Bombyx mori: one gene and its partners. The protein of the gene in region 1 purifies or fractionates together with the protein of each later gene. This does not show direct contact. Links are inferred from orthologs where the notes say so. Each region holds a gene or a part of one and is shown in the gene's direction. Other genes may lie near its edges. The genes, in order: ATP-dependent helicase brm, SWI/SNF-related matrix-associated actin-dependent regulator of chromatin subfamily E member 1, SWI/SNF-related matrix-associated actin-dependent regulator of chromatin subfamily B member 1-A, protein polybromo-1, brahma-associated protein of 60 kDa and actin-like protein 6A.

Region 1 (5,102 bases):
AATCAAAATTCGTTGCGTAGTTTTAAAGATCATCATACATAGGATATAGGGACAGATGAAGCGACTTTGTTTTATACTATGTAGTGATAATAGTTAAATATTGATTGAGTTTGATTCATCCCAACGAATTGATTTAGTTGAACTATTTGTTAAGTAATATGCTTTCAATCATAATAATTTGGTTGGTCGCAGAGCACAGATTTCGGCGTATCGGAATCTCGCCAGAAATCAACCCTTGCCGCCGCAAGTGGCCGCCTTAGCTACGGGCAAACGTACCGGCGAGAGTCCTCCGGAGTGTCCGACCCCGCCCGCGAGCGGCGCGTACGGCGAGGCGCAGGGCGCGGCGGGCAAGCCTCCCGCTGCGCACGGCGGCGCGCCTCCCACCCCGCTGCCCATGACTGGACAAATGGCTCCACCTACACAGCACACGCCCCCCCTTGTTAATCCGGTAAGTAATTATATTCATGTTTCATCACTTGAATTCTGGAATGGAAAATATTTTTTTATTATAAATAAATACTAGCTTTTGTCCGCGACTTCGTCCGCGTGGAATAGTTACTTTGGCATAACGCTAAATATTACCCGTCTCTTCATTTACGTAGAAAGTGAAAATATTTTTGAATAATAGAATGTTAAGGAGCTAGCTATTTAAGGTACCAAAATCATGCTTTTTAACCGATTTCAAAAGAGGAAGTTATTAATTCGACCATATTTTTTTATCTATGTAAAAAATGATGCATAAAAAACGCTATAGTGAGCCAATCTTAATATATAGACATAATATGCTGTCGCGGACTTTTTTTAGATCTTTTAAAGGGGAACAATTTTTTCAGACATTATTTTAGCGAAACTTTAACCGTTTCCGCAGCGCAAGCAGTGGAAGCTCTCAAAAGGGAAAAAACCCCTTTATTGGTGCTCCGCTTGCATTGGTCTTAGCGTGATGTTATATAGTCTATAGCCTTCCTCGATAAATGGGCTATCTAACACTGAAATAATTTTTCAAATCAGACCAGTCGTTCCTGAGATTAGCGCGCTCAAACAAACAAACCCTTCAGCTTTATAATATTAGTATAGATAAACAAACGTAATACAATCTAATTATGATATATCTGTCGTAGCCGGTGGGTGGAGTGCCGCTTCGTGGCCCCGCGCCATTGCGTCCCTCGGCTCCTGGAGCTCCCGGGACTCCACAAACGCAGCAGGTGAGTTTTATTTATAATTCTCCATGAGCAGACTATTTTACTTCTGTAACTCACGTCAAAATTACTTCACATTCGTATCGTAATGCCCATGGTGAAATTACTTGAGATAAAAATCTTTTGTCTAGCTACCTGGAGCCAAACAAAATCGTGTGACCACCATGCCCAAACCTGTCGGAATCGACCCCGTGCAGATATTGAACGAAAGAGAAAACAGGTAACATGAAAGCAAGAAACTTATTACAAATCGATGCCTCCAATGAACACTACTCTAACTCAAAATTTTGAAATTTTCGTTTTTCACGCAAATCGCTTCACTATGTTAAAAGTATTACAATTAATCATTATTAATGGGGTTCGAAGCAAGAGTAAATCAGCTAGCTACACAAAAAAAACCATAAATATATCTGCAATAATAAAGATTTTATCAACTTTTTTCGTTTAAATGCTCCTCCTGTAAATCTACGAATTTGGAGTTAGCGTAGTCTTCATTGGAGGCATCGAAATGGTACACACAATAGTAGATGCAACAAACGTGATCGTTGTTCGTCACGTCAAGTCGTGATCGTGACGTGAACGACTATTATATGTATGTATGTATGTATATGTCATTGTGTGTATATATATGTTTTGTGTATGTATTTGTAGCTTAATATAAATTTCATTGCACCTACCACTATTTACTCTGCACTACCTTTGGTTGACTGGTAGAGAATGACTTAAGCATTAAGTTCGCCAATGTAAATTTTACATGAAGTGTAATAAATAAATAAATAATTAAAATTTTCAGGATTGCAGCACGAATAGCTCATCGTATAGAAATATTATCAAACCTACCCGCCAATATGCCTGACGACCTTCGGTTACAAGCTCAAATCGAGCTCAGAGCACTCCGAGTGATTAATTTCCAAAAGCAATTGCGTTCAGAGGTGTGTTTTACTTCATTGTAATTTCCCGTACATCCGCCTCACAGTGTCTTATAAGTGTGATAAGAAAACCTTGATTATATTGTAGTAGCGTGCAAACACAGAAAAAAACGTTGATATTCGCCTTTAATAGTGTGCCTTTAATTTTGATCAAAATTGTTCTAGATATTAGGTCAAGTCCGCCGTGATACAACCCTAGAGACCGCTGTAAACATAAAGGCCTATAAGCGCACTAAACGACAAGGTTTGCGAGAGGCCCGAGCCACTGAGAAACTTGAGAAACAACAAAAACTGGAGGCCGAGAGGAAACGACGACAGAAGCACCAAGAATTCCTACAAACAGTTCTTCAGCACGGTAAATGTTTTATTACATTGTTATAATAGTACTATACAGTTTGTAACTATTTATGTTCTATGAGTTGCATCTAAATTTGTAGGGTTTCATTTCGTAGTTAAATAAAAAAATAAATGTATGTTTGTGTCCACATTTAAGATTCATTTTATTTAGGAGTTTATGTATTTTAGTGAGATTTGTAATGTACCTACGTTTATTTTCTTAAAATCGATCTTTTATCAGCCTATTACTTATAGTTGTACTAAAAAAAAGTTTTTTTTTTATCTCGTTACGATGACGAGAGTCGATATTTAAAATAGTATTCTAAATAAAATAATTAATTATTAATTTTGAACACTATTGTATTGTAGTTAAGGATTTCAAGGAATATCACCGTAACAACCTAGCTAAAACAGCACGCATCAATAAATCAATCATGAACTATCACGCTAACGCCGAACGAGAACAGAAGAAAGAACAGGAACGCATAGAAAAAGAGCGCATGCGGCGGTTAGTATTTTAACTAAGACATACAAATAAGTGATTACAAATTTCCGAAACATGCCTATTTAAACACTTTTTGTCATAACAGGTTAATGGCAGAAGACGAAGAAGGTTACCGTAAACTGATCGATCAAAAGAAAGACAAAAGATTGGCGTTCTTATTGTCACAGACTGATGAGTATATAGCCAGCCTTACCGAGATGGTCAAGCAGCACAAGCAAGAGCAACGTAAAAAACAACAAGAAGAGGAACGGAGGAAGAGGGTAATTACTTTTTTATACTATTATCTTCTAATGTAAGCGGTAGGCAGCGGCTTGGCTTTGCCCTTGGCATTGCTGAGGTCCATGGGCGACGGTAACCATTCACCATCAGGTGGGCCGTATGCTCATCTGCCTACTAGGACAATAAAAAAAAATGTGTATATTGAAACTATAGGTTATATATCAAGAAACTATAGACAAATAAGTATTTTCTTTAGTAAAATTTTGCTTGTAATTGCAGAAATCAAGAAAGAAGAAGTTGCTGGAAGGTGGAGAGATTGACGCTTTGGATGACAGCTCCCAGACTTCAGACTCAAGAGTCAGCGTCGTGGATCCTAAGTCTGGCGAAGTAAAAATATCATTTTAAATCTCCCGTCATATTTCATTTTATAAATGCTAAGCTTACAATTGTTTTATAAAACAATTTTACAATCTTACAATTGTTTTAAAGAAGTTACACCCAAACAAACTTGTACTAAAAACATAATTTGTTCACCTATTTAATGAGAAACACTAATATATGAAATATTTAAGAGAAGAATAAATTGTAAACAACCAGTAAAAATTATAATATGTTTAATATTACAACTTCTCTTGAACAGACTTAATTTTCCATTGAATACTTCGTAGATACTGAAGGGCGAAGATGCGCCGCTGCTGTCTCAATTAAAGGATTGGATGGAGACACACCCTGGATGGGAAGTAATGTCTGATTCCGATGATTCTGGTGACGACAGCCAAGACGATGATGGTATGATATTATTTTATAGTATTTATTATGTTCATTGTTGTGGCCTAAAATATATGTAGCGATCTCGGAGGGGAGTGCTGTAGCGAGTCTGAGTGCGGCCCTGCGCTGAGTACGGCCCTGCGCTGGAGCATCGCACTATATATAATATTCGTCGGTACTCCCAAAATGTTTTTTAATTCGGTTGAGTTCGAGACAAAACATACGCTGGTGGTCCGCTATTAACATTTCTATTTGATCGCTCTTTAATTAAATATAAAATTGTAATTAGTGGTATCATTTCACTGCAACAAAACCATAGTTGGTACCACAGATGTGATGATGTCTGGTGTACTCGTATCAAGTGATGCTACTATATTGGCATTGAAATCCCGCAGACAAGTACCCATTTTAAAAGATATACATAGGTACTTGCTCACGAAAGAATGTATTGATCGAGGAATACACTGTGTAATGAAACTGAATAGGTGGTAGGTACCTAACCTTACGGACGTTCAATCTGTCCTTCCACGTGTATTTATCCGCAAGCATTAGCTACTAATTATGTTACAATAAAAAACTAAATATCTTAGGTATGTAAGCTGTGTGTGGTCACAGTGGTCAACTTCACAAAAAAATTGTCTTCTACAAGCAAAATTTTATATACTAAATTCAATCCTATTTATAATAGTAATATGAGATGAAAAGTAGTTAGGTTATGTAACATCATTCATTGTACTGAAATCATGTAAAAGTAGAGTAAGCAGCAACAATAATGTAGTACTATTAATTTATAGAAAAGAGAAAAGACAGGCACAGAGACGACAGGGGCGATCGCGAGAAAACCGACGAAGAGAAAGCGCGAGATATGATTAAAAAGGCCAAAGTCGAGGACGATGAATATAAAACTGAGGAACAGACCTACTACAGGTATGTTTTCAGTTACTGAATTATCTACAATATATTATTAAAAAAAAAAAACTAAACCAATCACATTAATTAATTTTACGTGTTTGTTGTAAGTCGCCACAAGTACGTAACGCCCTATTGAGTATTTTTGCCGCGAAACAAACATGACTTTTGCCTTAAAGGGTAAATTAACCTTTTTTCAAAACAATATAAGTTTGGCAGTGACAAAGACCATTGTATCTG
Region 2 (5,102 bases), on another chromosome or scaffold:
ACAAAATCCAACAATAAGTTTGTCAACAAATGCTGTTTATACCAAGATTAAATTAATTTTAAAGTTCATTCAAAGTGTAAAAGCTTATTTTGATATGTGCCTTCTTGTAGTGTCAGAGACTTAGAGAGTAGCTTGGAATACTTCATTGTATTGTAACATATGAGTATAAATGTAATAAAATATAGCTATATTGTAACTATACTTGAGACCTTAGATCTTGTATCTCAAGGTGGTGGCGCATTTACGTTGTGAATGACTATGGAATCCAGTAACCACTTAACACCAGGTGGGCTGTGAGCTCGTCCATCCATCTAAGCAATAAATAAAAAAATTGCTACGTATAAATGAAAAAACATATCACAATAACTAAATTATGACTCACAGATATTGAAAAAACAAGTGCAGTCCTTAACGATGCACCAGAAGAAGCTGGAAGATGAATTGCAACAGATTGAAGAGAAGTTCGAAGCCAAGAAACGCAAGTTTATTGAGAGCAGCGAAGCATTCCAAGAGGAACTCAAGAAGGTACCTAGGATTTATTTCAAAAATCGATTTTATCATTATGTATGTTTAAATTTTTCAAGCATCACTTAGATATTATAGTACTTAAGTATTATCCCATATACCATTCTTAAAGTCCCTAATGGAAATCTAAGCAAGTATGAACTGTTACCATTATGCAGTCTCCGAAGTAATTTTGTAATCTTTCCCAGTTTGTGGGGTTGGGACAGTTTGAAAGTTTGACCTCCATGTCTACGTCCATTGATAATATCAGCGTGTAAGCACTTACCCATGTTAGCTAGTTATTAAAAAATAGTAAAAAGTAGTTTTTTACTGATGGTAGGATCTCTTGTGAGTCCGCACGGCTAGTTACCGCTGCCCTGCTTATTTCTGCCACGAAGCAGTAATGCGTTTCGGCTTGAAGGGAGGGGCAGCCGTTGTAACTATACTTGAGACCTTAGAACTTATATCTCAAAGCTTGTGGCGAATTTACGTTTTAGATGTTTATGGGCTCCAGTAACCACTTAACACCAGGTGGGCTGTGAGCTCGTCCACACGTCAAAGCAATAAAAAAAAAAGGAAACTAGTAATTTTGTCTTATTTAATGTGAATTTATTAAATGCTCCGGTATTCATTTTAGTTTTGGAAAATGAAATAATGTTAATATTTTTTCCAGCACTGCAGGCCGGCTGTGGACGAGGACACATTCCAGCGCATGGTGGAGCGAGCTCTGGAGCAGATGCGTCGCGGGATCAACCCCACCTCGCAGTCGCTCAGCGCCGTCGCTCACGCCGAGAAGAAAGACGAGGTATGCTTCATTCGAAAATTGATTGATCGATTGAAAAATCTTTATTGCACAAAAACATTATACAAAGGCGAACTTAACGGCAGACAGGCATTCTCTTCCAGTTAACCCTCGTTGATGAAGTGAGGTGCTTTTAGGTACCCCAAGCACCGCTCACCGTTCTCGTCGAACCCGTCGCGACGTGTTCGGGTTCGACGAGTAAATTAACCCTCAGACACAGCCCACTGAGTTTCTCGCCGGATCTTCTTAGTGGTTCGGGTTTCCGATCCGGTGGTAGATTCTGCGAAGCACGGCTCTTGCTAGGGTTCGTGTTAGCAACGTCGTCAGGTTTGAGCCCCGTGAGCTCACCACTAGTTAAGGTTCCGCTGATATAGCCTCTCAAGGCTATCTGCTTAGGTAGGAAAAAAAAAAGATGAAGTGAAAGATTCAAGAAGTGCATAGCTGTGATAAAGTTAATACATAGCGATAATTTAAAGCACTAGTAGACATGAGTGAAAATAAATATTTATAATTACTTTTCCAAAATAAATAAATACATAGATAAGAAATACATATAAAATAAAATAAATTATTATATATCAATCAGTGTTTTGAAAAAGAGATAATGTACTATCGCTTTCAAAATACCTATCGACTGAACATGCTTCACGGAAATATATGTAATAAGTATAATATACAACAAACATTTTTCCCTGCAAAGTCTACTGATTTACCAAATAATATTATTTGCCAAAAGGACTTTAGAACATACATTATTATCCAACATTTTTAAATTTTATTTTAATGTATTTTTTATTTTATTTTAATGTATTTTTTATTTTATTTTTAAGCAAAGGCTTGGCTCTGCCCCTGACATTGCTGACGTCCATTAGGGATGGTAACCGCTTACCATCAGGTGGGCCGTATGCTCACTGCATGCAAAGGCAATAAAAAAATTATTAAAAACTTGTCTTTGTTAACTCAAAAAACAATGTAAAATAGATCCCCATAGAGAGGTGGTACCCATCATTTTACAACATTTGCAACAATGTAAATAAATATAAAACTATGTCTTATTTGTTAAAGAATAATAAATAAATAAAATTGATACACAGCCGATGGACCAAGATCAAAATCCAAGTAAACCAGAAACAAACGGACCTCATCCTCCCACTCAAGTGGATAAAGTGTCTACCAGTGACGTGAAGCCTGATTCCATAGCAACTGACATAAAAGTCGAGGAGCCAAGAGAAAAGGAACCTGAAAATGGACCAAGCCAGGCAGATGACGAGGGTGAGACTGAAAACATAATAATAAGAAACTATACTAAATACTGTTACAGATCGACACCGCACAACATGTAATATTAGTTTAAGAATACACAAAATAATTGAAACTTTTAGGGGGCTTTTATACTACAAGATCCTACAAGATGTTCAGTTATTAACTAAACATAGTGTGTAAAATTTTAAATTATTAAGTCAATAATTATTTATCATACAGTATGATGTAGGCAGGATTCTGTTCCAAACTGTTTCGTTTAATATTTTATTTGTAATTTTTATAAAAAAATGTAAATGTCCTTGTAAAAGAGAAAAACAAAAAAATGAGTTATGGTACTTTAAAAAAAATGATTGATGGAATATTGTAAATCAAATTCGAAGTGTTTATATTCAAGACTAGCGACCCGCCCTCGCTTCGCTTCGGAAACATTAAAACACACATGAAACCAAAAAAAATATTAAAAAAAAAATAAAAAAAAGTAGCCTATGTTCATCAGGGACAATGTCGGCTTCTAATGGAAAAAGAATTTTTCAAATCGGTCCAGTAGTTTCGGAGCCTATTCGAAACAAACAAACAAACAAATCTTTCCTCTTTATAATATTAGTATAGATAGGTCTTTACAAGTACTTTCTATTGTCATAACTTTACCACCAATTATCGCGCAGTGTTTTTTGGCCGAATCTTCCCAGGACTATCCTAGTGATAAGACCTTTTATCTTTGACATTCAGCAATCATATGTTTTGATGACATTTAAATTGTAATAAATTGTTTAAATATTGAGTTCACACACACACAGTCACACATACACCCAATATTCCACGACATTTGACTACTGTAGAGTACCAATATTTTTTTGTTTCAAAAACATTGAGATACTTGGTTAAGGACGGGGTAGGGAGTGATTAAAAAATGTAAAGTATTTTTTATGTGCAGGAGATCGTAAAGAAGAAAAACCAGTAGAGGTAAAAATGGAGAACAAGGAAAGCATTCCACCCGCTCCCGCCCCGCAGCATCCCCCGCCCGCGCACCCTCCGCACATGACCTCGCCTCCACACCACGGTAACTAATTTTCACACGAAAAACTCGAAAATGTTGATGTTCTATTGTTAAACCACTGATTTTGTTATTAACTACTAGCTGATCCGGCAGACTTCGTAGTGCCTCAATTGATAAATAAAAGACCTAAGCTTTTGTATAAAATAAACTTAAAAAAAAACAAAAGGAAACTGTCAGACGGGGACACATGGAAGCAAAAACAAAATGTTTGTTTTAATATAATTCCGAGCATTTTCATGTTTATTCACCTTTTAAACCTTCTCTGGACTTCCACAAATAATTCAAGACCAAAATTAGCCAAATCGGTCCAGCTGATCTCGAGTTTTAGCGAGACTAGCGGACAGAAATTCATTTTTATATTATTAATAACTATACGTTTAATACAGCAATGATGATGGCGTCGAATCCTACAACTGCTCCGCATCCTGGCCCGCCAGCTCACGGGGGTCCTCCACCGCCAACAGGTGCCATATTGTACTATAAACTCACTCGTGACTAACATATTCTCACATCAATCGAGCACTTTGGTCGCTGTCCATTCTCACGTCTTTCTATCATCACGGTGTAAATATGGTATTCACATTTATAAGGGAGTTTTAATGCGCACAAATATATTGCGGGTAGCACTCTGGAGTCACAGCTGTGGTTCATAAAACATGCTTCATGATGATGGTCGTTTGTCTTAACGGTATGCAATGGAAAAGCTAATCTGAATTGTTCTTAAGAAACCAATGGTGCTATACAAATTTCGTAGATACAAGAGACAACAAATATCATGAGTATTCGTAATGTTCATAGAAACATTAATTTAAAATTTAGGTTTGCTCGATGAACCAAATAATCTATAATAGTTTTCAGTGATTTACTAATTAATATGCCTTGTATCTATGTTTTATTAAAAATATTATACAAATAAAATAGATATGTCAGTATTATGGACGACTAATAGTGGGCACTCATTTTTTTCTAAAAAACTGAAGGATATTTCATTTAATAGAAAATCACACAAGATCGGTCGGATGCTAGGTTAAAATCTCAGATAAAGAACGTTGTGAGCCACACTAAGACTGGTGTAATCGGAGTCGTGTTATCACAATAAGTATGAAATGTACGCGCAGTGGGGGCGTACGGCGCCCCGTACGGCGGCCGGTACTACGGCGGGTACGGGGGCGGGTTCCCCGGTGCCTACCCCCCGCACCCCCCACACCCGCCGCACCCATACTACCCCGCCGCCGCCCCGCCCGAACACTACGCGCATCTACCGCACCACGCGCCTCCACAGCATCACGACGTCAAACGTGAGTACTGTACCAGGTAGGCGTCGAATACACGAGATGCCCTAGTGACATCGAGCGGACTATGGTTAGAGGAGATCATGATAACTTTCTGCCATGACGTCAATAAACGGATAAATATACATCTAAACCAAAAGGTAACATAGAAAAGTGATCAATAATACTGCGGCACTTTTTCACA
Region 3 (5,862 bases), on another chromosome or scaffold:
ATAATAATTCATATAGTCAAAATCAATTAAATATGCATTATTGGGGATAGCTTAAAAACTGCTGATCAGATCTTGAGAAAATTTAAATGTGACCACATAATACAGCTTTCAAATAAGACAATCGGTTCACTCGGAATAAAGTTATGACATAACATTTATAAAACAATCAAATTGAGAACCTCTTTTTTTTTGAAGTTGGTTTAAAAAGAGAAAAAATTAGGAAAAACTTTTACTTTTGGTAATAGAACTTGTTAGTTAATTTGATACTGAATACTTTGCAACTTCAATCTAAGCAATTATTTTCTCATTTGTAAAATATTCCTTTCAAAACATGATTTAAGTATTTAAGTAACTAATAAATAATAATCGATTAAGTAGTAGTAGTATACCTATATCGTAGTTAAGGCAGAAGAAATTCAATGCTAATTTAGAATAACCTTGAAGATATTAGAAAAAAGAACAAAGTCCATTTCCAGTTGTTTACACAGTAAAATGTACTTGTAATGGAAACCTTTGGTTTTAAATTTTAAGGTTAAAAAAGACGTTGATTAGTTACAACTTGAATTCCTGTGCTAAAGAACCCTTTATTCATAATTATTCAACTACAGATTTACGCTACAGCAGGAAAATTACGTATGACGTATATACAAAATCATAAGACAAAAATAAAATTTGAATGAATTTATGAATTGAAAAACACCAATTAGTTAACTAACTTAGTTCGGATAATTGTGGCGTGCTTTATTTACCTTTTTCATCCAATTGCAGTTGTGTTTTTACATATTCTGTTGGGAATGTAATACAAATTTCAATGCCTCCTGTAATTCCGCCGGCTACAACTCCCTTTAAGCCTACTGAACCCGAACCACCAGCCGCAGCCGCTGCACCTGTCTCCGACATCCACGGTCTGGAGAATGGGTTTTTGAATGTTCCTTGCCGTGAAGACATGGTCTCTTTTTTCGAGCACTTTTGAAATTCGCAACGACTGCGACGACACTCCCCTACGACATTTAATTTCAGACTAAAAATTTAGGTTATATTAGTTATATACAATCATACTCTATGCTAACAATATGTGTTTGTGTATAGTCTATGAACTAAATTACTTTTTGGCGGGAACGCGAGGAGTGAAGTTGTGTGATTTGTTTTATTTTGTCTATTTAGTGTTTCTTCAGGTTTAAATGTGTAATAACGGTGGTTTATTAACTGTTTAATATCTGTGAAAGTGCACAAATGTGGGAAAATGAAACAAAGCTGCTGGACGTAACTTCTCGGGTTCCTCCAAAAAGTCCACTGAAAAAATCTCAGTAAATGACCACCATTTTACTGCGATTATATTTCATCCCATATCATCTCATTTCATTAAATTCATCCCAGTTGATTAATGTCTCAAATTAATCATCTTCATTTCATTTCACTCCATATTATCATTTTTCATAAAATTAAGACTATAAAGTAAAATAAGACATGACTTAAAGGTCTTAGTTACCAGGTCATAAAATCTCTTAAAAAAAAAAAAATCAATTAAAATAGGACTTTTTGGCGGGAACGCGAGGAGTGAAGTTGTGTGATTTGTTTTATTTTGTCTATTTAGTGTTTCTTCAGGTTTAAATGTGTAATAACGGTGGTTTATTAACTGTTTAATATCTGTGAAAGTGCACAAATGTGGGAAAATGAAACAAAGCTGCTGGACGTAACTTCTCGGGTCCCTCCAAAAAGTCCATTGAAAAAATCTCAGTAAATGACCACCATTTTACTACGATTGTATTTCATCCCATATCATCTCATTTCATTAAATTTCATCCCAGTTGATTAATGTCTCAAATTAATCATCTTCATTTCATTTCACTCCATATTATCATTTTTCATAAAATTAAGAATATAAAGTAAAATAAGACATGACTTAAAGGTCTTAGATACCAGGTCATAAAATCTCTTAAAAAAAATCAAATAAAATGTTTTTTTATTTTATGACTTGGTAGCCTAGACCTTTAAGTCATTATCTTATTTTAATCTTCTTATTCTAATTTATATCTTATTATAATTTATATTCTTATTTTTATGAAAACTGATAATATGGAGTGAAATGAAATGAAATGAAATGAAGATGTCAAGAATGTCTCAAATTAATTTAAATTAATATTTGAGACATATATTAAAGGGATCAACTGGGATGAAATTAAAGGAAATAAGATGAGACGGGATGAAATATAATCTCAGTAAAATGATGGTCATTCACTGAGATTTTTTCAGTGGACTTTTGGGTGAATCCCAAGAAGTTACGTCCAGTAGCTTTCCAAAATAATATATGACTTAAAGGTGTACGTTACCAGGTCATAAAATTAAAAAAATAATTGGATACATATATACATATTCACAGAAACGATTTATAAATTTTACCCTTACCAAATTAACATTACAATTCTTGAAGTAAATGTAATTATTTTATCAAAGGAACAACACAACTACAAAAATGGCCTTACGTACGTACGGCGATAAGCCGATAAGTTTTCAAATCGAAGAAGGAGGAGACTTTTATTGTGTTGGCTCAGAGGTAAGTTCCATACATTTCTTGATTAAAAATACATCGAACTACTCGAAACATAATTTTAAAGATACGTTATTAAAAATTATTTCATTCACTAACGGAGCTAGTCTTTCTTTTGTCGAAGAACATCGTTCCTAACCTCAATCTGGTCTATTATACAAACTTGCCTTTTAGAATTATTCTTATTTCGATGAGGCTTGGTTTCCATTACTGTAAAGCAGACTATAGTTTATTGTCCATCAAAGTATAAGATAAAAAATAGAACAATAGGTCTATATCACCCTTATGAAAATGGAATACAAATTTTGGAGATAAAATAACTAAGGAATTTCTGTAGAAGGCAAAACTGAGCTGTAATAATTATGTTGCCCTTTAATGACAATTCTTTAAAACTCATTTTCTTAGCAATAATCGAGTAAGTAATCCAGTAAACAGATCCATATTTAACAAAATCCCAAATACATATACATGTACAATAACATCATTAGCTAAGAAACCTAAGATTTTAGTTAAAGAGATACAAATCATGAAAGTTTACCAGTCCATTTTAACTACTGGCTTAAGATACCATACTGTACTTTTTATCTTTTTTCTGTATCTAGTTGCATAATTCAGTGTTCATGTGAAGTTTCTCACTATAATCTTCTATTCTACAGTAGAACTTTCTAAAGCGCCATTATGAATTATATTGAATAAGTAAACGACAGTGATTGCTTGCAGTGCAAATTAAAACAAGTTGTGGCACCCAATGCTGTTTCTGCTCTTATTTTTTTAGATGAGCAATGATGTATTTTCTTCAGTGTTTCTGAATTGTATAAAAAAAGGTCTAATTTCATATTTATTATATTCATTTCATTATCATTTTTCATGGCATATTAACACTGTTCTAACTACTGTAAATTGTTATGACAAAAAATTTAAATGATTAAACAATAACAGTGGTTTTAATTAAAAGCAATGCAAAATTATATTGTGGTGTCGAAAACAGCAGTTTTAACTTGAGATTTCCAGATTTTGTATTTTGATTAGTCTTATGCCCGCTTAAAAATGCAAAAAAATTAACTATTGCCTTAGGTCGGGAATTACCTGCGCTTGTTCCGTGGGTCACTCTACAAGAAGTACCCTGGCATGTGCCGGCGTACCCTCACCAATGAAGAACGTAAGCGATTAATTGACAACGGTCTTGGTCCTCATGTGCTGTCCAGTTCAGTTTCACTGTTGAAGGCGTCAGAAGTTGAAGACATTATTGAAGGGAATGATGATAAGTACGTCATTATAAACATTTTGTGAACTATTGAAAGCGGTTAAAACCGACAATTGCTGTGTTAGCATAGACAGGTGAACGAGTTCATAATCCATCTGATGATAAGTGAAGCTACCTGAAGTAGTCAGTCGAAATATTAGACCTTTAAGTTTTGGTGAGCACCTGGCACTATTGAAGTCCACGAACGACATTAACCACTTACCATCAGAAGAATTGTATGTTTGTCTTATTTTAAGGACAATAAAAAAAAAAACAAAATGTGTGCATATCTTTCTTCTTCATCGCTCCCTCATTGCTGAGGATTGTGACTCTGTTTCAGCTGTGCCAGTCTCCATCGGTTCTGGTCAGTTGCTGTGTGCATATCAAGGAAATCTTAAATACTATGAATTGTATATGAAACAGCAGTTGTCCATTAAACTATTTACAGCTATGACACAGCTTTAAATTAATTTATAGATACAAAGCAGTGTCCGTCAGCCAAGAGTTGGCGACACCCCGTGAGAGCAAAAGCAAGAAGCCACACACTCCATCATGGCTGCCAGTCATGCCAAACTCTTCTCATTTGGATGCTGTACCCCAGGCTACTCCAATCAGCAGGAGTAGGGTGCATAATAAGAAGGTAAAATGGATGTTAAAGTCAAAACTTAAAGTCCAGTTGGGCTTCAGGTTCTGACTCCTAGGTTTATCTAGTTAATCATGTTTGACATGGGGCCACACTCTAAGGTCAACACAACACATTTAATTTAGCTTCTGATTCAGGATAGATAGATAAGATAGATAGAATATCTCAAAATCAGAGACACATCGTAAGATAAATAACAGATTTTGAAATGGAACATTGGAATTAATGTAATATACTATAGTTCTAAAGTATCATTATTAAAACTAGCATAAAATGAATACTTTTCAGGTGAGAACATTCCCACTGTGTTTCGATGACACAGACATGACTGCAATGCTGGAGAATGCTTCGCAAAAGCAGGTGCTTGTACCGATTCGATTGGACATGGAGATTGAGGGTCAAAAACTCAGGGATACATTTACATGGAATAAAAATGGTATGTTTAACTGCATTTGTTACCAATTCTGGTTGTTTATTCTCAATTTTTGATTTCAGAAAGTATTTGAATAATAGAATGTGTAATTGCTGTCTACCAAATTATAAATAGATTGGCTGTATTTACTGTGAATTGTATCGACTGTCAATTGAAAATATATAATAACATTTTCTTATATCTTTAACTATAACTATTCTTTATAAAGTTCTTTAATCATGCTTAATGAAAATTGTTGGTCTGCAGTAAGTGTTGAAGATCAGGAGGACCTTGTCCAACTGTCTTGGATCACAGAACAGTTCCAATGCGCCCTGCAAATTTGGTTAAAATATTTTTAATGTTTTATCGTTTTCATTCTATATTGTTCTTTTAGCACAACCCTTACATAAATTTAGGAATACGCTCCTTAATTTTTATATCCATAATGTGTATGTTCCCACTTTTTTTTCCTGCCTAAGCTGATAGCCTTGAGAGGCTATATCAGCGTTGCCTTAACTAGTAGGTGAGCTCACGGGGCTCAAACGTGATGACGTTGTTAACACGAACGCTAGCAAGAGCCGTGTGCTTCGCAGAATCTACCACCAGATCGGAAACGCGACCCACTGAGAAGATCCGGCGAGAAACTCAGTGGGCTGTGTCTGAGGCTTTTTCTCACAAGGATTGCAGGCAGCCTATTAACAAGTTTTTGAATAAATAAAAAATTGGAGGATTGTTTTCCAGAATCAATAATAACACCAGAACAGTTTGCCGAGGTGCTGTGCGATGATTTAGAGTTGAACACGAGCACCTTCATACCTGCTGTGGCCTCCTCGATCCGGCAACAGATCGATGCCTTCCCGAGCGAGCCTCCCCCCATACTGGAGGAGCATACCGACCAGAGGGTCCTCGTCAAACTCAATATACACGTTGGAAACACTTCGTTGGTAGATCAGGTAGGTTCAAGTTACAAAGAAAACTCAAATAATTAATATAGAAGATGTAATTGACATGTGTAA
Region 4 (5,102 bases), on another chromosome or scaffold:
TTAATGAGCAAAATTAATAAAAATATACAGGATTTTTCATTCGTGCTTGATTCGGAGGAACTGTTCTATTTTTGATTTCGCGTGTGACAAATAATTGTAAACGTTAAAGATTGTTTGTTTGTTTGTTACGATTTTACGTTTCGAGTTGTTAACCAATATGAAATTTAGTTATATACTTCAAGTCTTGTCATGGTCATTTAGAAAGAAAAAAAACTAATCTAGACGGTTAATTTTCTTTTCTAAATTAGCGCGAACTAATTAATGTATGCCGCATTTAAAATTTAGTAGATAGCATTGTATATTAAAAACAATTTTTCGTTACGTAGTTTTGAAAAAAAAAAACGATTAATAATATGAACCGTGACATAATTTCTCTCGTTAATTTTTTACGCTCCCCCGAACCGGACCGCAGAAAGAGAAGGCACGAGAAAGATTATGTCGCGCAACCCTAACACGAAGGTACGTCTGGGCTAAGGCTCGCTTTGAATGATTCCGCCAGGCGACATATCGCGCATCGTGGGCAACGAGTGGCGCTCGCTGCCCGCCGCCACCAAGCAGAGCTGGGAGGAGCGAGCCGCGCGCTGCAACGAGGAGACCGCCGCCAGGCTCGCCGACGAGATGCGCGAGTTGGCGCAACACGTTAGTGCCCAAACAACCGCCAAACAGCGACCCAAATACCTTTTGCATCGTCCTCTAACGACAAGAAATGCCATTCTACAATCATATCTATTTCGAAGTGAAACTTCTTTAGGATCGTTGCGATTTCAAACTCGATGAAACGAAAAAATAAGTCCATAGAGACACAAACACATAAATGTATAGGATTCAGCCGGCGAGAGAATGAGATAGAACACATTAGATGTTGTCGGTCTCCTCTTTTTGCGACTCTTCGTAGTATCCCCACTATCGTCTACTAAACATTGTCCATATGTATGCTCCTGTGTAGTGGGATAGTCAGTCACACACTTTTTTTCCTACCTATTCTAGAAACCTCGAGGAGTTATTCTAGATTCACAGTGGGCTATGTCTATGGGTTAATTTACTCATCGAGCCCTTCGTTGCAAGCGACGGGTTCGGCGAGGACGGTGACCCGTACTTGAAGTATCTAAAAGCACCGTTACTGGATCGGGAGGATCCGTAATGACGTGCTTAGGGCGACGTCGACTGTTTACCATTCGGTCCACAGGATCGGGTATGATCATATCAATGATGACGAATCTCGATGACTATAACATTGGCCCCGAATCGGCGGTACTGAGTAAACACAACCCTGTTGAAACTGGAAAGGCACCCGGGCTACAAGTGATCCATGTCTTAAAAAAAAAACAAAAAAAAACCGTGCACGTGAATGAAGTGAAACTTCTTTTTTGATGTGTAGTAATGTGGTTTTCATCCTTAAATCAGATTGCTCTTGTAATAGAGAAGGCTGTGTATAAAAGATACGTCATCTTCAACACTTATATTATATATATTTTAAATTATAGATAGAAAAATAAATATATATATTTTTAAATACTTCATTAAAATATTGGACGCTACTCGTTGTAACAGGAATACTATGCGCTTGCGCTCGAGTGACACGCATTCACTCTCGCTCTGTCTCTTTCTATTCCATGGCAGAGTTAAACGTTTAACGCAACCTTGTTGGAAGTCACATTAGAAGTTTCACTTAAAAAAAAAAGTAAGCACACTCCCGGAACGTGCATGATTCTTATAACAGACAGACCACTGTAGAGGTTTTCAAGCTCGCACCTTAACACTTGATTGTCAAAGAAGAACCAGTCATAAAATGGTCAGCGTTATGCAATATACTTTAATGAAAACATAGACATTAATTTAGTGAATGTATTAATATTTTTAGACAACAATGGAGATGACGTACGAATGCGCCTGGGACACGTGCGACTGTCAGTTCGAGGACCTGACCGACTGCATGGAGCACTGCATCGGCGACGGAGGAAACAGTAAATATCTTTACATTTTACACATTTCATTTGGAAGCTTTGAAAAGTGCTTAGGCTTAAAAAAAAACACTTCTAAGAAATTCGAGTAGATTCTTCTCGAAATATCATGTCTATTCATTACAGTCATTCCGTCAAGTAAATTAAGGGATTTTAAAATTAATAGGAAGTAATTTAGACTTTGATCTCCCATCACAAGGCGAAACAAATGATATAATTTTTGAAGTTATACTTCTACACATATACAAAATTATTTCATATAATTCATACTAAATATTATTAAATTATTAACGTTAAATATTTATTATTAATCATTGAATATTTAAAAAAAAAAAGAAATAATTTTAATAAAAATGAAGTATAACTTCTTACATAAGCACACGCACCCTTTTTTTTTTGTTTGTTTCTATGCTACTCACTCTGTTTGTATTGTATGTCTTAAATTCAGTATTAAAAGTTTATTTTATTCTCTGACTCAACTTGCGTTCTCGTATGGGAGCTAGATAGACTTTTGCTAATGTGTTTTTTGTTCGTACTTTAAAACGCTGCCAGTGATCGGAACGTATCTAGAACCGAAAAGACCTAAACTAGAGCGTAAGTATCAAGTTGAAATCGTTGGAACGGTGATACTCAACTACACAACTCTAAAAATGTGCAGCTAAATTTTATAAATGAGTCGTCTATTATCAAAGGTGGCAATCTGTGCATTTGGACAAAAAAATGTTATTGATATGTCAATACAGATTGATTTGAATATAATCGTCTCCTTCAAAGAATACGGTTCAAAATCTGCATTAAATAAAGGTTAATAGTTAACCTGTTATTTATCTAAGATGTCGTTCGGAAGAGTTTTGTGACTACCAATGGAATACAAAGTCAATAATTCGTTTTTCTGATTTACCAATAATTGTCCAAAAGTCACATTGCCGGCTTTGATAATAGTCGACTCAAATTTGCTTAGAAAAAATTAGTTTTTATTTTATTACGAGCAAAGTTTAGATTAATTAATAGTACCTAATCAGAATAACGTCGTTGTCAAACCAAAATCTGCTATGTGTAAAAACTCTATTTTGAATTAACGAGTAAAAAAAACATTTTCGTATGAAATTTTTATATGAAGGTGAATTTTTATGAACTCTATCAAATGAAAGCTATAGATGAAGTATTAAAGCTATAGACACATAACAGTTTTTCTTATACGGTAGACAGGGCTGTGAACTATACGAAAAGTGCACATAGCAGATTTTGGCTTACAACGACGATATGTTAAAATTTTAAATAGTACAATATATAATAACAAAATCCTTTTTTTGTGTCGATCAAAACAACTTCAACGTAATTTATTTAAAGTTTAAAGTAATTTGTAACATACGGGACTGCATTGAAAACATTCGACAAATATTCGACGATTAACGTGCAAACGAAAACAGTAGTATTTATTACGTATGAAGTCGTCGAAATTTGTCGATGATTCGGTGCGGCCCCGGGGCCCGAGTGCGGCGTTGTTAATGAACGTCCACAATGTGGTCCGCCGGGAACATGCGTGAACGCAGCGGGGCACATCCAGCAACACTACCGCGGCTCGTTCAGCGAGTACCCCTGTCTGTGGCGGAACTGCGCGCGCGTGCGCAAGGGGCAGGCGCCCTTCCCCAACCTGCCGCGCCTGCTGCGACACGTGCGCGACCTGCACGTCAACAAGGGCAACGGACGACTCATGGCCGTGCATGAACGCTCCAGGTACGCACGCACGCACACACGCACGAGCACGCGCGCGCGCACACAAACAAACAAACACACACACACACATGCACTCACACACATGCACACACACACGCACATATATCGAGAGGCGAAAGTCTATTTAGTTAAAGCAACATTTCGCTTCATCATCAGCCTGTATCTCTCCACTGCTCGGTGTGAGCCTCTCCCATAGTCTGCAACTAAATTTTTATTATGATATTTTAAACTTTAAATGGCTCCCCTGTGAAGTTGCTAAAAGGTCGCTTAAAGCACCTTTCTAGCTTTTCACCCCTCGATATATACCACCGCAATGTCCGGCCTTAGATTTAGCTTCACGTTCTTAACGCAGCGTTTGCGTGATCGCGTCCACAAACTTCAGAAGCTTTTGATCATCCAAAATTTTTATCTTTGATTCATTATTTATCATGTTATTATTATTATTATGATTTTATACAGTGAACCCGCAATGTACCGAGAAGTTGTCAGTCTCGTAGAACATTTTCGTTCAAGCTGGCGCAATATGTTTTGATGAAGATGAATAAATAAACCGGACCTCACGGACAAGCTGTTACACAAACAAAATCAGTTTTCACTTTCGATTTTTGAACAGATTTTCAATTTTTTTTTACTATAACACATTTGGGAACATTTTTTTTTAATGAACCTTACAATAAAAACTGTAAGTAACAAAGCAAGTAAAACGAAAGTATATCTTAGATGCCAGTGATTACGGTCGAACTTCGATGACAAAGCAAATATGTACCGCTTACAAAAAAAAACTTATAATAAATTAATAATTTTTTGATTTAGGAATTTCATGCTGTCATCGAAGAAGCCGCGGCCGGCGGTGCGGAGCGGCGTCATGTCCCCCGGAGGTACAAATAGCAGTAGTAATAGCCAAGGTTCGCATGCTGACGTACTAACAAACGGGACCGGCGCTCCACGCACACTAACCGAACAGTGTGCTTAGTGCGAGCTTTTTAACGTTCTCGATAGCGTAAAAGTTAACTCAGATTTGTATGGAGCTAGAACAGCGCCCCTAGCGGCAAACATAGGCAAACTGGTGGTAGGACCTCTTGTGAGTCCGCGCGTGTAGGTACCACCACCTTGCCTATTTCTGCCGTGAAGCAGTAATTTCGGTTCGAATGGCGGGGCAGCCGTTGTAACTATACTTGAGACCTTACAACTGATATCTCAAGGTGGGTGGCGTATTTACGTCGTAGATGTCTATGGGCTCCAGTAACCACTTAACATCAGGTGGGCTGTGAACTCGTCCACCTATATAAGCAATAAAAAAACAACGTTCCTACGTCGAAAACGTTAAAAAACTCGCACTAAGCACACAGTAAACAACTATTAGACCAGGGCTGTCCAAACTACATACCTTTGCGGGCTAATGAA
Region 5 (5,614 bases), on another chromosome or scaffold:
TAGGCAGTCTTCCATGAAGACGGAACCCTGTTAGTACTATACGAGAGGCGATACAAACGCGTTAGCGCAGGTGTCAACTCAGGGGTGCACGTTTTCAAAACCACTGCAGGAATGCAGTCTGGCCCTCTCGACTTATGGACGTCCAGGGCCCAGAGCTCCCGCCTGACTGCACACTGTGTAAAGCAGATCTCCGGCAAAGAGCTATCACACTGGAGGATGTTCGGTGGTGTGGCACCCCCGTCATCCATAGTCGAGTTCGAGGCGAAGAGTTTGACCAGAGGATCAGCCTTCTGTTTCGCACTATGGGCCAGACTGTCGGACTTGCGTAGTGATGGGAGACTAGACCTGCTGAATTTACCTTCTGCTTATCGGACTTGCGTAGTGATGGGAGACTAGAACTGCAGAAGTTACCTTCTGCAGCCTTAGCGAGCGACCAGAAAGCACGGTTCCCGGCGGAATATCTCTTCAGTCGCTCGCCAATTCTTTTCACTGAACTTCATACTTGACGAAAACATGTAAATGTATTATTGTATAGCAGCTGTCACGCGGATGCATCGCTCACTCAAGCAGGAGTGTTTACTGAAGCTAGTACGCGTCAAAATGTTAATACTTCCTCCCACGATGTGTGCCTTGAAACATGAAGTGTAAGACTTAATTGCAAAATCGTATAATATAGAGGGTGACCTAAGATTCAAACCGGAACGTATGACTTCTTTGCGACAGAAATAGTGAAGACTTCTAATATTGCCTACTATCACAGTTGGCGTTGTTATATTAAAAAGTGGCACCCATAATACCTACCTCTTTTACACGTCCTTACGGATCCATCGGATCCAATAACCCTTGCATTAGACGCCTTGTGCTCTAACACTAGGGGTAGAGACTCCGATAACCGTACACGTCGAATTCGGCAAAGAGTTCGACGTGCAACCTAAACATCAGCCCGTTGAGTTTCTCGCCGGATCTTCTCAGCGGGTCGCGATTCCGATCCGGTAGTAGATTCATTCGCGAAGCAGTAGCTACTTTTGAGTTTTTAGGTCTCCCTTAGAGGCGCTCAAGTAGCTGTTAGCAAATTCCGTCCTTTCGGGCTGATACATTGCTCGCCCACCTGTCCTTGTGAAACTGGAAATGTCTCCGGGCCACCAGTACTTCCACAATCATAAAAAAAACTTTCTTTTAATATCATAGCATCTGCGTAAAATTTCCTGCTGATTGTAAACAACCTTTACTGGTGGTAGGACCTCATGTAAGTCCGCACGGGTAGGTACCACCACCCTGCCTATTTCTGCCGTGAAGCAGTAATGCGTTGCGGATTGAAGGGTGGGGCAGCCGTTATAACTATACTGATACCTCAGAACTTATATCTCAAGGTGGGTGGCGCATGTATGTTGTAGACATCTACAACATAAATGCGCCACCCACTTAACCACTTAGTACCAGGTGGACTGTGAGCTCATTCACCTACATTTGACTCCAACACTCAATTAGAAATTAAATCCTAGATAGGTCGGGTTGGCAGAAGGCGTCTTAGACCCCGCGTTTCATCATTGCGACCGTAAGTTTGCAAAAGCACCACCGTGAAGTCCACCTAGACTATTTACTTAGAAACACTGCGTCGTTTTTTTGTTAATTCAACAACTTAAGCTTACTCATGATTTTTTAACGTTTAACATCTGTGAAAGTATTAGTTTTCTCATAGTTGTGCAACTATGAGAAAATTAAACAAAATAGTTAAACCTTTCTTCTTAGGCTCTTTTAAAAAGTTAATTAGTTTATTCAGGAAATTCATTAATATTCATTCATCATTTCATTAATAACATAATAATATCTGACTTCCAAAAAATTTAACTTTATTTCGGACTTGGTTACAAATACTCTGGCTGTATGGATTATGTTTCTTTTGCCTAATTTATCTATACTGTGACGCTGCGCCAGATATTTTGTTTCTTCAAACATCTTTTAACTATTTGTGTTCGTCTCAATTTATCTGTCTTCTTACATATAAAACAATACGAATAATCAATATCTTCACGAATTTTTATATGAATCAGTGTATGAGTTGAGATTGTAAATGTTACCTTGTGGTTAAATTAACAAAAAATGGCTCAGCGTTTCCCAGTAAGTGGTCCAGGTGGATCTCCCGGTGGTACTCCAGGAAATTTACCGCCCCAACAAAGATACGCAGGGCCGCAGCCGCCGTCTGCCTCGCCGCTACCACCCCGACCCTACCCAGGACCTAACTTTCCAGTGAGTGTCCCAGTCAAATGTCAAAACTTAGGTATGTGCAAAATTTGTTGCTCTATTTAAACAACTATTGTTTTACAATGGTTTACATACTGCAACAAACTTTGCACAGAAGCTTCGAAATAAGAAAAAAAGGTCACTGGTGCATGTTTTTGACATTCCAATGGCAACTATATTCTCTAAACAAAATACTGAGACTGGGTTTTCACCGTCCACGGGTAGGCAGCGACATTATTAGTAACGTAGTTTGTAGTACAATACTCAATAAATTATTCGATTATTTAATCACTATTGAAGTAATGTTCACTTTATTTTAAAATTACCCTATGTGGGTAATTTGTGGTAAAACCCACACCGTTTGATGTGACATTAAAATTTTGCTACAAAAATTTGATAACTTCAAGTACAGTAGATCCTCTATAAGTTAAAGACCAATGGAAATGTTAAATATTTTGAGTTATTGAGGTTTTACTTACAGAGGTTCGTTTATGAGCTTTGTTTAGGATTTATAGAGATAGCTAGGTTAAATGCAAATGTAACTTTGAAATGTTAATACATATGTACATACATACATTATTTTACGGTTAAAGGCTAAAAGTTAGGTTAAACTTTTACTAAAGTTTGTTTTATTCTATATAAGTTGTTTTAATTTATATTACTATGTATAAAGTTGTTTTCGTTATTTCATTTAATTCACTCTTTAAATTAATTTTATTTTCAATATTAAATAAAGAGGAGAAAATGTCATCCTCTGTGTTAAAGAATTGATCTGTAAAAATCATAAAGCGTTTACAGCTGGCCTTGCTTCGCTTATAGATATAATCACAGGTGGATCTTGTGGCTCGTCATTTAAATCATATCATCACTCTGAGCACCATGAATAATGGTATATTTTTTTTCTTATGTTCACATTCCCTACATGTACCCTAACATACAGGGAACCATTTCTGTTTGCACATTCATCTACAATGACTCATGACATGGACATAGGTAAGATTGAAGTTACAAAGGTCATCGTAGCTACAGCTTTGAGATACTGAGGTGTGACACCGAAATTATTAGTTTTAGTTATAGATGTTTCATATTTTAATTAGAAGAGGTTTAGGACTGAGGGGAAGGGAATACAAAATATTATGAATTAACAGAGGTTATTATGTTGTTGAGGTTTAAGCTATCAAAGTTCTATTGTATTTAACAAAATAAAATAAGTAAGTAAGTAAAAAAGTAAGTGTGCTCTATCATGCTGAAGTGTTGCTGAAGTGGGTTCATTCATTGAAAGAAAACGGCAGCTGAAGCACAACGAGAGTTCCAATAACTTTACAAAGACCTTGCTCTGAGCCAAATAATGTGAGGTGATTAGCTTCATCACTTCAAAGATTCAGGGATTTCAAGCTCACAACAGCCTACGTGAAGAAAAAACAAAAACTTTCAAAGATGCTGAACGGGAGGATCTTTCTCGAGAAGGATCCGTGCCAAATGGGATATCAGCTCGCTTGAGCTTTAGAAATTAGTCTCCAAGCCATTTCCAAATAATTGTATGGATTAGGAATGATTCAAAAACAAGTTACTTGGGTTTCTTATGAGTCGAAGTCAAGAGATCTTGTGTCCCTTATTCGCCTGTAATACAAATGGAAGAGTTTCCCTCATTGAATCGTGATGGATGATTTAAAATTGTAAAATTGTTGTTTAAAACTTAGTAAGGTCCCCTTATAGACTTGAAAGTTGTTTCAAGATTTATTTGTTATCCCCAGACTTCACTTAAATGATCTTCATAACATTAAATGTGCTCTTTTGACAGTACGAATTATGTAGAAATGAAGATGATTATCATTATTATTGTGGGCATATCATTTAACTTCATATACAATTTTTTTTTCCTTTAATTATTTATATTTTATGCACAAAACAAAAGTTGTACACAGGCGGATTTGATGCCATAGGCATTCTCTTCCAGTCGACCATAGGATGGTGCAGAGATAATGCATGGTAGGTGCATTAACAAAAGAATAACAAACAACAACAACAAAACAAAAAAAAAAGAACAAACTCAAAACAAAAATCTTCCTTAAAGTAACATCTCAGTATTATAGAATACACATAATGTTAAATATAAGTACTTTTCCATAAATAAAGTCAAGATTGTATGCATTGTCTGAAGTTCATATTACTAGTTCACTGAATACAGTTCTGAGACTAGTTATGATTGTATTTTATAAGTAGATATAGATTAATTCTGATTGATTTGAGCAACTTCATTGTAGTCTTCAAAATACTGGATGTGGTTTCACATTATGCGTCAGGTTGTGTTTCATGTAATTCCATTACCTATTTTCTTCCATTACAACAATAAGTCTATCCAGATTTTACTACAAGCAATTGAAAAAACTTAAATTCTTGGACCTGTTGTTTAAGTTATGTAGCTAGTTTGAGTAGTTGTGGTACTTGACTTAGGCCAGAATTACAGTCACCTTTTTTGTAGCGATTTTAATAACCTGTGACTCAAAATAATAGGTTGGGGAAAAAGTTTCTTCGCATGTTTTAAGAAAATTCACAACATTTCATAATATAATTTATTTACATTTAACTAAAGTATGTAGGTACCAGTTTGTTCGATAACTTTTTGCCAACTTGTAGGTAGGGACATGATCCCATTGCTATAGAAATTTTGGGGCTTCTGATCAAAATACCGCGACAATTGGTTTTGGCCTAAAGAGTTCTGAAGAGACCGAAACAGGTGGAAATCGGAAGGTGCAAGGTCAAGACCATACGGCAGAAGCATTAACATCTCCAAGCTCTCTTAATTTTTGCTGAGTGGCTAAAGATGTGTGAGGTCTAGCGTTATCATGATAAAAAACCACAGCCCTTCTGTTGACGAATTCCGGCCGCTTTCTCTCTACTTCTTGCTTTAATCTCTTCAGTTGTTCGCAGTAGAGCTTAGAATCGATGGTCCTGCCTTGTGGTAACAACTCATAATGAATAATGCCCTTCCAATCCCACCACACAAAATGCATTACCTTGTTGCGAGCTACACCGTGTTTCGCCACAGTCTGTTAAGCCTGACCGGCCTTTGCCGAAATATCAAGCTTTTTCGTGTACCCAGTTTTTTTTCAAATGCGCCAAACCTGTTTTGTGGTCAATTCCCAGTTTTTCAGCTACGTCGTAACTACTGATAAGCCGATCTTGCTCCATTTTTTTTAAAAATGGCATCCATTTGATCTGTAATAGGGCGACCAGAGTGACGTGCATCTTTGACATCAAAAATTCCGGATTGAAAACGCTTAAACCAAATTTGTGCTACTCTGACAGACACTGCACAAGGTCCATAAACATCGCAATTTTTTTTACAAACTGCAATGCTAACAAGATCAAA
Region 6 (5,632 bases), on another chromosome or scaffold:
TTTTTAAATGTTTGTATGCAATGATTCCTATCTATTTTTTAGATACTCTATGTTTTACACTTCCGTATATCAGTATTGTCCATATCAATAATTTCGAATATAATTGTAAATCGTTGGTCTCTATAATTTTATCAAATGAAATAATTATATCCTACGTAAAATGTAGAAATAAAAAAAATATTTCTGTTAATATTCGTGATTTTCATGCTCTTTCAAAATCGTCTATGACTTTTAAAAAAAGAGGGGAAGTAATCGCGTGTAACAAATTGGAATCTCTTGTACCTACTTATGTACTCGTTGTGATAAAAACAACATAATTATTAATAACATTTTGTGAATCTTTTTTTTTAATATGTACGTTTTATTATTGATCTAATTGTCGTGTATTATGTGTGTAGTGATCGCAGTAATAATTGATAATTTTATATTCTAATACTACTACATGTTCGATGTAAAATGAATGTTTAGCCAAAATAATATTACTTCGCATAAAACATAATTAATAAACTGTGGTGTCAAATTATATGTGATGTCTTTTATTAGCATGCTTTGATTGGACCTCGTAGGAGGCCTTCTCTGGGAGCGCTCCAGTAGCTGGTAGCGAATCTTCCCTTCGTCATATAATCCTTGCGTCGCCCATATGTCCTGTCTATGTTTTTGTACTATCTGTAATATTACCATTCCAAAAAAATACTTAGCTACGTGACTAAAGACCATCTTCGCATGTGTCTTGATGGGGCTAATGCTTGTTCCATAAAGTGTCACTTTACTGCGAATGAATGCCCACTGAGTCTCTCTCCGGACCTTCGCAGTGGGTCGCGATTGCGATCTGCTCGTAGATTCTGCGAAGCACCGCTTTTGCTAGCCCGTGAGCTCACCTACCCGTCTGCGAGTAGCTGGACGTCTTACGCTATCCGCGAATAAGTAGGGCAAAACTAATGGAGCTAATTCTGCTTGACGTTCTATAGTCTATGGACAAATAGCCTGTACTTAACGCAGTACGATCGTAGACTCTTCTTCATCACAGAATCTTAATGTGAGGATGGAAGGTCAAAGTTCTAATCTCCCGAAGTTGCTAGTGATTATGAAATTATATTTAACAATTTTTTTTTAAGTGTGGGCTCACAAGATGCTCTACCTCCGGTGATTAGGCAAATTATAATACTTTCGGGTTTCATTTTTATTTCACAATCATTCTTCACTGTGGAAGCCATTGAAGTCATGAGATGTTGATCTACTTGTTCTTTAATTTTTGTGAGTTGATTTAACATACAATGATTCTAATACATATTTCTTTTATACTTACCTATTTAAAAAAAAATTAAAAATTCCTATTTGGGAAGAGTTGCGATTCTTAAAAACCCATTAACAACAACAATTTATTGTTTCATATTAGTTATTATATGTGGCTGTTGCTTATTAACTGTTTTTCATCGTTCAGCCGTACTTATTCTTGAATTTTTACCTTAATGGAAGATTTATTATAAAAACATATCCCACTACTACTACATTTGTTACGTCCTAAATTGAACAGGAACTCAAATATTAGTCCCCTACATATCCGCTTTACTACATAATTAAAATTAAGGTGACTCATACATTTATTCTATTTTTGGTCTGCCTGAAAACTAAACTCAACTGCCAAAGGACTTTTTGAAAATATTTAGAAAATATTGAAAAGTTTCAATAAAAAACCACCAAATTACTGAGACTTTATTTCATCCCACATCATCTCGTTTCATTTAATTTCATCTCAATCGATTAAATGCTCAAAATAATCAACTTCATCTCATTCGCTTAATTTCATGTTTCATACAACAAATTAAAAAAAAATAAGGCTCCCTTAAAGGTCTCGTTACCAGGCGACAAAATATATAAAAAAAACAACTGTCAAAAGAAACAACAAACGCGCTGGGCATTGTCGTTTATTTCATAGATAATAATACATAGTATGTTTATTATTTTTAATTAAATGAAAATAAAATTTTTACAATAGCATTATAAAAGAATATATTATGAGTGGCCCGAACGGCATGCTGTACGGGGGAGACGAGATAGGTGCACTAGTCTTTGATCCTGGTCATCATTCGTTGCGAGTTGGTTATGCACAAGAGGATACCCCAAAAGCTGATATACCAGCAGTTGTGGGCGTCGGACCAGCTACACACATCCCAAATTCCGAAGAAAAGGTTCCTGATGGCAACATCACGCAAACCGGTGAGTATTGAAATTAAGTTCATCACCGAAGTGTAGTTGTTTATAGCTTGTTTTTGAGGTTGCAAACAGAATACATTTCACAAAACTCATTGTTTTTGACAAATTGAAAAAAAAACTTTTCAATTGTTAAGATATTATATAAAATATCCAACTAACATTCATTTATTGGTGTTTAAAATTTACAAAATTCATCAATTGTATAATTAATAATAAAAGATCATGATTTGTGTGATATTCCCGCGTTTCAAACATGCGTTTTATTAGAATTGGTAACTTAATTGTGCCAAAGAAACTGAATCCAATTTTATACATGTATGATATGTAGAAAAAAGCATATAAGCTAGTTATCCACCTTAGAGCTCCATCTGTAAAAATGTATCCAAAATTCAATACAAAAGCATGACACTATTGGCTATGATTGATATTAAATATTATTAATTCAAAATGAAATAATTAAACTTAAAAAAATATATAAGAATGGATTGCCTATTTTTGAGATTTTTAGTACTATTATTATTTACAAAATGTATCAGCAACTTTTACTGATGTACGTTTCAAGGCTGGTACAGTCCTTGGTTAGTGACGATCTCTACATTCTGTGAGACTTCCACAAAAAAGTATTTTCTTCAATAATCAATAGCAGGCCTTTTGAATATTTCTGCTGTGAAGCAGTAATGCGTTTTGGTTTGAAGGGTGGGGTAGCCGTTGTAACTATACTTGAGACTGTAGAACTAATATCTCAAGGTGGGTGGTGCATTTACGTTATAGATGTCTAAGGGCTCCAGTAAAAATTTAACACCAGGTGGGCTGTGAGCTCGTCCACCCATCTAAGCAATAAAAAAAAACTCATACTAATATTTCTATGCAACAAACATTAAATTACTGTTACAGTTGGGACTGAAATCTTTTTTAATCAGTGATCATATTCTTTGAACATAGTTGACCAAATTGATAAATGTTTGCTGTATTTATTTTGACAATTTTCAGAACTGGAGGTCTAGTTTATTTTTAAATTCAATAAGTGTTTAACATTAAGACTATAAATCTGTTTACAAATTACAATTGGAATTGAGCAATATCAACAGTTGTCAAAATTATTCCCTTTTTTTCTTTATCATCGTTGTTCCCTCATTACTGGGGAATGCAACCACCGATATGGAAGTCTTTCGATGAAGATCAGTTTGCTGTGAGGTGGACCTTCTGTATACTGCCATGATTTATCCTCTTTATACTGTCTAAGACGAGGCTTTCTGCCGTCTGCCTACGTAGACTTCTGGAATACTTTGGCAACATTGCAATAAAGAATCACGGCAGCTTGGAGAAGCTAATGGTGACAAGACCACGAGGTAGAGGCCCGACACATGGGACTGACCAGATCCGCACTACCCTCAACACCACAGCTCATGATGCTCTACACTCAGCGGCAGATAGAGGTAAATGGTGTGGAATGGTCCATAATAAATTCTTTTTGCAAGGAGGTGATCTTCAGTATTGAGGAAACCGAAGAATAAGGATACTGTCTAATGTCTGATGCAGAAGGCAAGGGGAAATCACTGCTCTATATTCCCAAGATAACATGTTATTATTTCCTTAACAGGCAGTAAAACGGGCAGTGAGCTGCGACACTACATAGACGTCACAGAGCTCCACGTTCCGCGTCCGGGAATGGAAGTGCAGACGTACATGAAAGACGGACAAGTCGACAACTGGGATCTGTTTGAGAAGATGCTTGATTATTGTTATTCTAAGGTAATTTTTTGTTTCACTGAACACTAACTAATCATTAATAACAAACTGATGGTAGGACCTCTTGTGAGTCCGCGCGGGTAGATACCACCGCCCTGCCTATTTCTCCAGTAACGACTTAACACCAGGTGGGCTGTGAGCTTGTCCACCCATCTAAGCAATACTGGAGCCCATAGACACCTACGTTGTTAATGCCATCACTCACCTCGAGACACAAGTCTTCTTTGGATATGGTGCTTCAATTAAGTTCTAGGTTTTTCTTTTGTTGCAACGTTTTAGTAGGGCAATGCCATGCTCTGACAAGGTATATTCAGTAAATCCTAATGTCTTTCAGATTCATATTTGTCTAATTAAATATATAGTAATAAAATTAATACTAGGTCACCGGTCCTTAATGCATCCACTAATTTTTAAATTAATCAGATATTTTGAAGTTGGTCGAAACAACATTCAAAGTTTTTTTTTACATACAACAGGACATACATCCCAAGCGAATAAAAGCATGTGTAAAAAATTACTTAAGACCTAAGTTCATTAGCCCATGACCGGTGCCAAACATACATAAAATTTCGTTTTGTTATGAGGGTTTTTGATTGTGCAGGTAATCCGCTCCCCATCAGAGCACCATCCAGTACTCTTCACTGAGGCAGTCTGGGCCACCCGGCCAGTGAGGGAGAAGCTAGCCGAACTCATATTCGAGAAGTATCAAGCACCAGCTTTCTTCCTGGTCAAGAATGCTGTCCTAGTGGCCTTTGCAAATGGAAAATCTACAGCTCTGGTCATAGACGCTGGAGCCACACAGACATCAGCCGTGCCTGTTATCGATGGGTGAATTTTTTCGCTTATTTGTTGTCTTGAAAGGAAAACGAAACTAGGATCATCCTGTTGGTATGTGGTCACTGTCACTCATGGACAACAGCCAGGGATAAAGACATTTAAAAATACGAAACAGAAAATTGTCTCGCACTCCACAAGACTTGACCCCAAGCAACTTTTCTCTGTGTGATGTCATCCAGGGTCAAACAATTTATAGGTTGATCATGGATGCATTCTATTGGGTGTTTTGATTAATTTGAAAAAAAATCAATTAATTAAAACTATTTAACAATGGCTAGTTATCAATATATTGATTGTGTTGGTTTGGTATTGTTGTCTACTTTTAAGGATACCATATCTTTTTTTTTTGTTTTTCTGGTACTCCTAATTTTATTTTTATTTGTAATTATTAATTTTTATTTGTAATTTTGTTTTCAATAGCCAAAGCTATGTACATTAATACGGGTTTGCTGAGTGCACATACCATTTAGATTGCAATCCAATAATATATTTTCAAGTTGTGATTCCAAATATCCATCTAATAGAGTAATTAAACATAATTTTATGTCACGCTATGCATGTATATTGTTCCGTGTCTTGCTGGCTATTTCCACGGTAGAATTGAAAAGAAATTATCGTGAAAAGAAAATTAGAATCCGAGAATTTTTTGTGTATCAATTAATTGGTGTTAGGCATTGTGAGCTCGCACGCTTGTCCGTCGTATTTCTGCCGCGGATCATACATCACTCGGACCGCGCGTCCGGGTGTTGCGTGAGCGTGACTCGGACCGTGCGTCCGATTGTTGCGCGAGTCGGACTGCGAGTCTGGTTGTTGCGTGAGCGTAACTTGGACC

The links.
Region 2: the proteins of ATP-dependent helicase brm (region 1) and SWI/SNF-related matrix-associated actin-dependent regulator of chromatin subfamily E member 1 purify together in Drosophila melanogaster (affinity purification with western blotting; 6 studies listed by BioGRID, with this or other methods). This does not show direct contact. The link is inferred for Bombyx mori from reciprocal best matches to the Drosophila melanogaster genes brm and Bap111.
Region 3: the proteins of ATP-dependent helicase brm (region 1) and SWI/SNF-related matrix-associated actin-dependent regulator of chromatin subfamily B member 1-A purify together in Drosophila melanogaster (affinity purification with western blotting; 7 studies listed by BioGRID, with this or other methods). This does not show direct contact. The link is inferred for Bombyx mori from reciprocal best matches to the Drosophila melanogaster genes brm and Snr1.
Region 4: the proteins of ATP-dependent helicase brm (region 1) and protein polybromo-1 purify together in Drosophila melanogaster (affinity purification with western blotting; 3 studies listed by BioGRID, with this or other methods). This does not show direct contact. The link is inferred for Bombyx mori from reciprocal best matches to the Drosophila melanogaster genes brm and polybromo.
Region 5: the proteins of ATP-dependent helicase brm (region 1) and brahma-associated protein of 60 kDa purify together in Drosophila melanogaster (affinity purification with western blotting; 8 studies listed by BioGRID, with this or other methods). This does not show direct contact. The link is inferred for Bombyx mori from reciprocal best matches to the Drosophila melanogaster genes brm and Bap60.
Region 6: the proteins of ATP-dependent helicase brm (region 1) and actin-like protein 6A purify together in Drosophila melanogaster (affinity purification with western blotting; 7 studies listed by BioGRID, with this or other methods). This does not show direct contact. The link is inferred for Bombyx mori from reciprocal best matches to the Drosophila melanogaster genes brm and Bap55.

What each region holds. Positions count from the first base shown.
Region 1 is NC_085121.1:5,478,090-5,483,191, forward strand, and holds part of ATP-dependent helicase brm, read left to right. Parts: intron 1-192; coding exon 193-448; intron 449-1,118; coding exon 1,119-1,202; intron 1,203-1,327; coding exon 1,328-1,416; intron 1,417-1,989; coding exon 1,990-2,128; intron 2,129-2,290; coding exon 2,291-2,480; intron 2,481-2,830; coding exon 2,831-2,969; intron 2,970-3,051; coding exon 3,052-3,226; intron 3,227-3,464; coding exon 3,465-3,572; intron 3,573-3,853; coding exon 3,854-3,974; intron 3,975-4,747; coding exon 4,748-4,880; intron 4,881-5,102. UniProt on the Drosophila melanogaster protein: Transcriptional regulator. Acts as a coactivator, assisting one or more dedicated transcriptional activators of ANTC and BXC homeotic gene clusters. Can counteract the repressive effect of Polycomb protein.
Region 2 is NC_085120.1:6,515,277-6,520,378, reverse strand, and holds part of SWI/SNF-related matrix-associated actin-dependent regulator of chromatin subfamily E member 1, read left to right. Parts: intron 1-384; coding exon 385-525; intron 526-1,177; coding exon 1,178-1,309; intron 1,310-2,400; coding exon 2,401-2,578; intron 2,579-3,503; coding exon 3,504-3,629; intron 3,630-4,012; coding exon 4,013-4,090; intron 4,091-4,744; coding exon 4,745-4,924; intron 4,925-5,102.
Region 3 is NC_085122.1:12,050,440-12,056,301, reverse strand, and holds the start of SWI/SNF-related matrix-associated actin-dependent regulator of chromatin subfamily B member 1-A, read left to right. Parts: upstream 1-2,298; 5' UTR 2,299-2,473; coding exon 2,474-2,554; intron 2,555-3,622; coding exon 3,623-3,813; intron 3,814-4,268; coding exon 4,269-4,431; intron 4,432-4,722; coding exon 4,723-4,870; intron 4,871-5,587; coding exon 5,588-5,799; intron 5,800-5,862. Other genes in the region: putative tricarboxylate transport protein, mitochondrial, read right to left, coding at 750-948.
Region 4 is NC_085132.1:4,582,728-4,587,829, reverse strand, and holds part of protein polybromo-1, read left to right. Parts: intron 1-499; coding exon 500-639; intron 640-1,861; coding exon 1,862-1,964; coding exon of another isoform or gene 1,965-1,965; intron 1,966-2,513; coding exon 2,514-2,555; intron 2,556-3,497; coding exon of another isoform or gene 3,498-3,514; coding exon 3,515-3,698; intron 3,699-4,511; coding exon 4,512-4,603; intron 4,604-5,102.
Region 5 is NC_085116.1:238,393-244,006, reverse strand, and holds the start of brahma-associated protein of 60 kDa, read left to right. Parts: upstream 1-1,897; 5' UTR 1,898-2,100; coding exon 2,101-2,247; intron 2,248-5,614. UniProt on the Drosophila melanogaster protein: Involved in the recruitment and site-specific anchoring of the Brahma complex at specific promoter sites.
Region 6 is NC_085108.1:7,028,055-7,033,686, forward strand, and holds the start of actin-like protein 6A, read left to right. Parts: upstream 1-1,876; 5' UTR 1,877-2,015; coding exon 2,016-2,217; intron 2,218-3,814; coding exon 3,815-3,966; intron 3,967-4,564; coding exon 4,565-4,791; intron 4,792-5,632.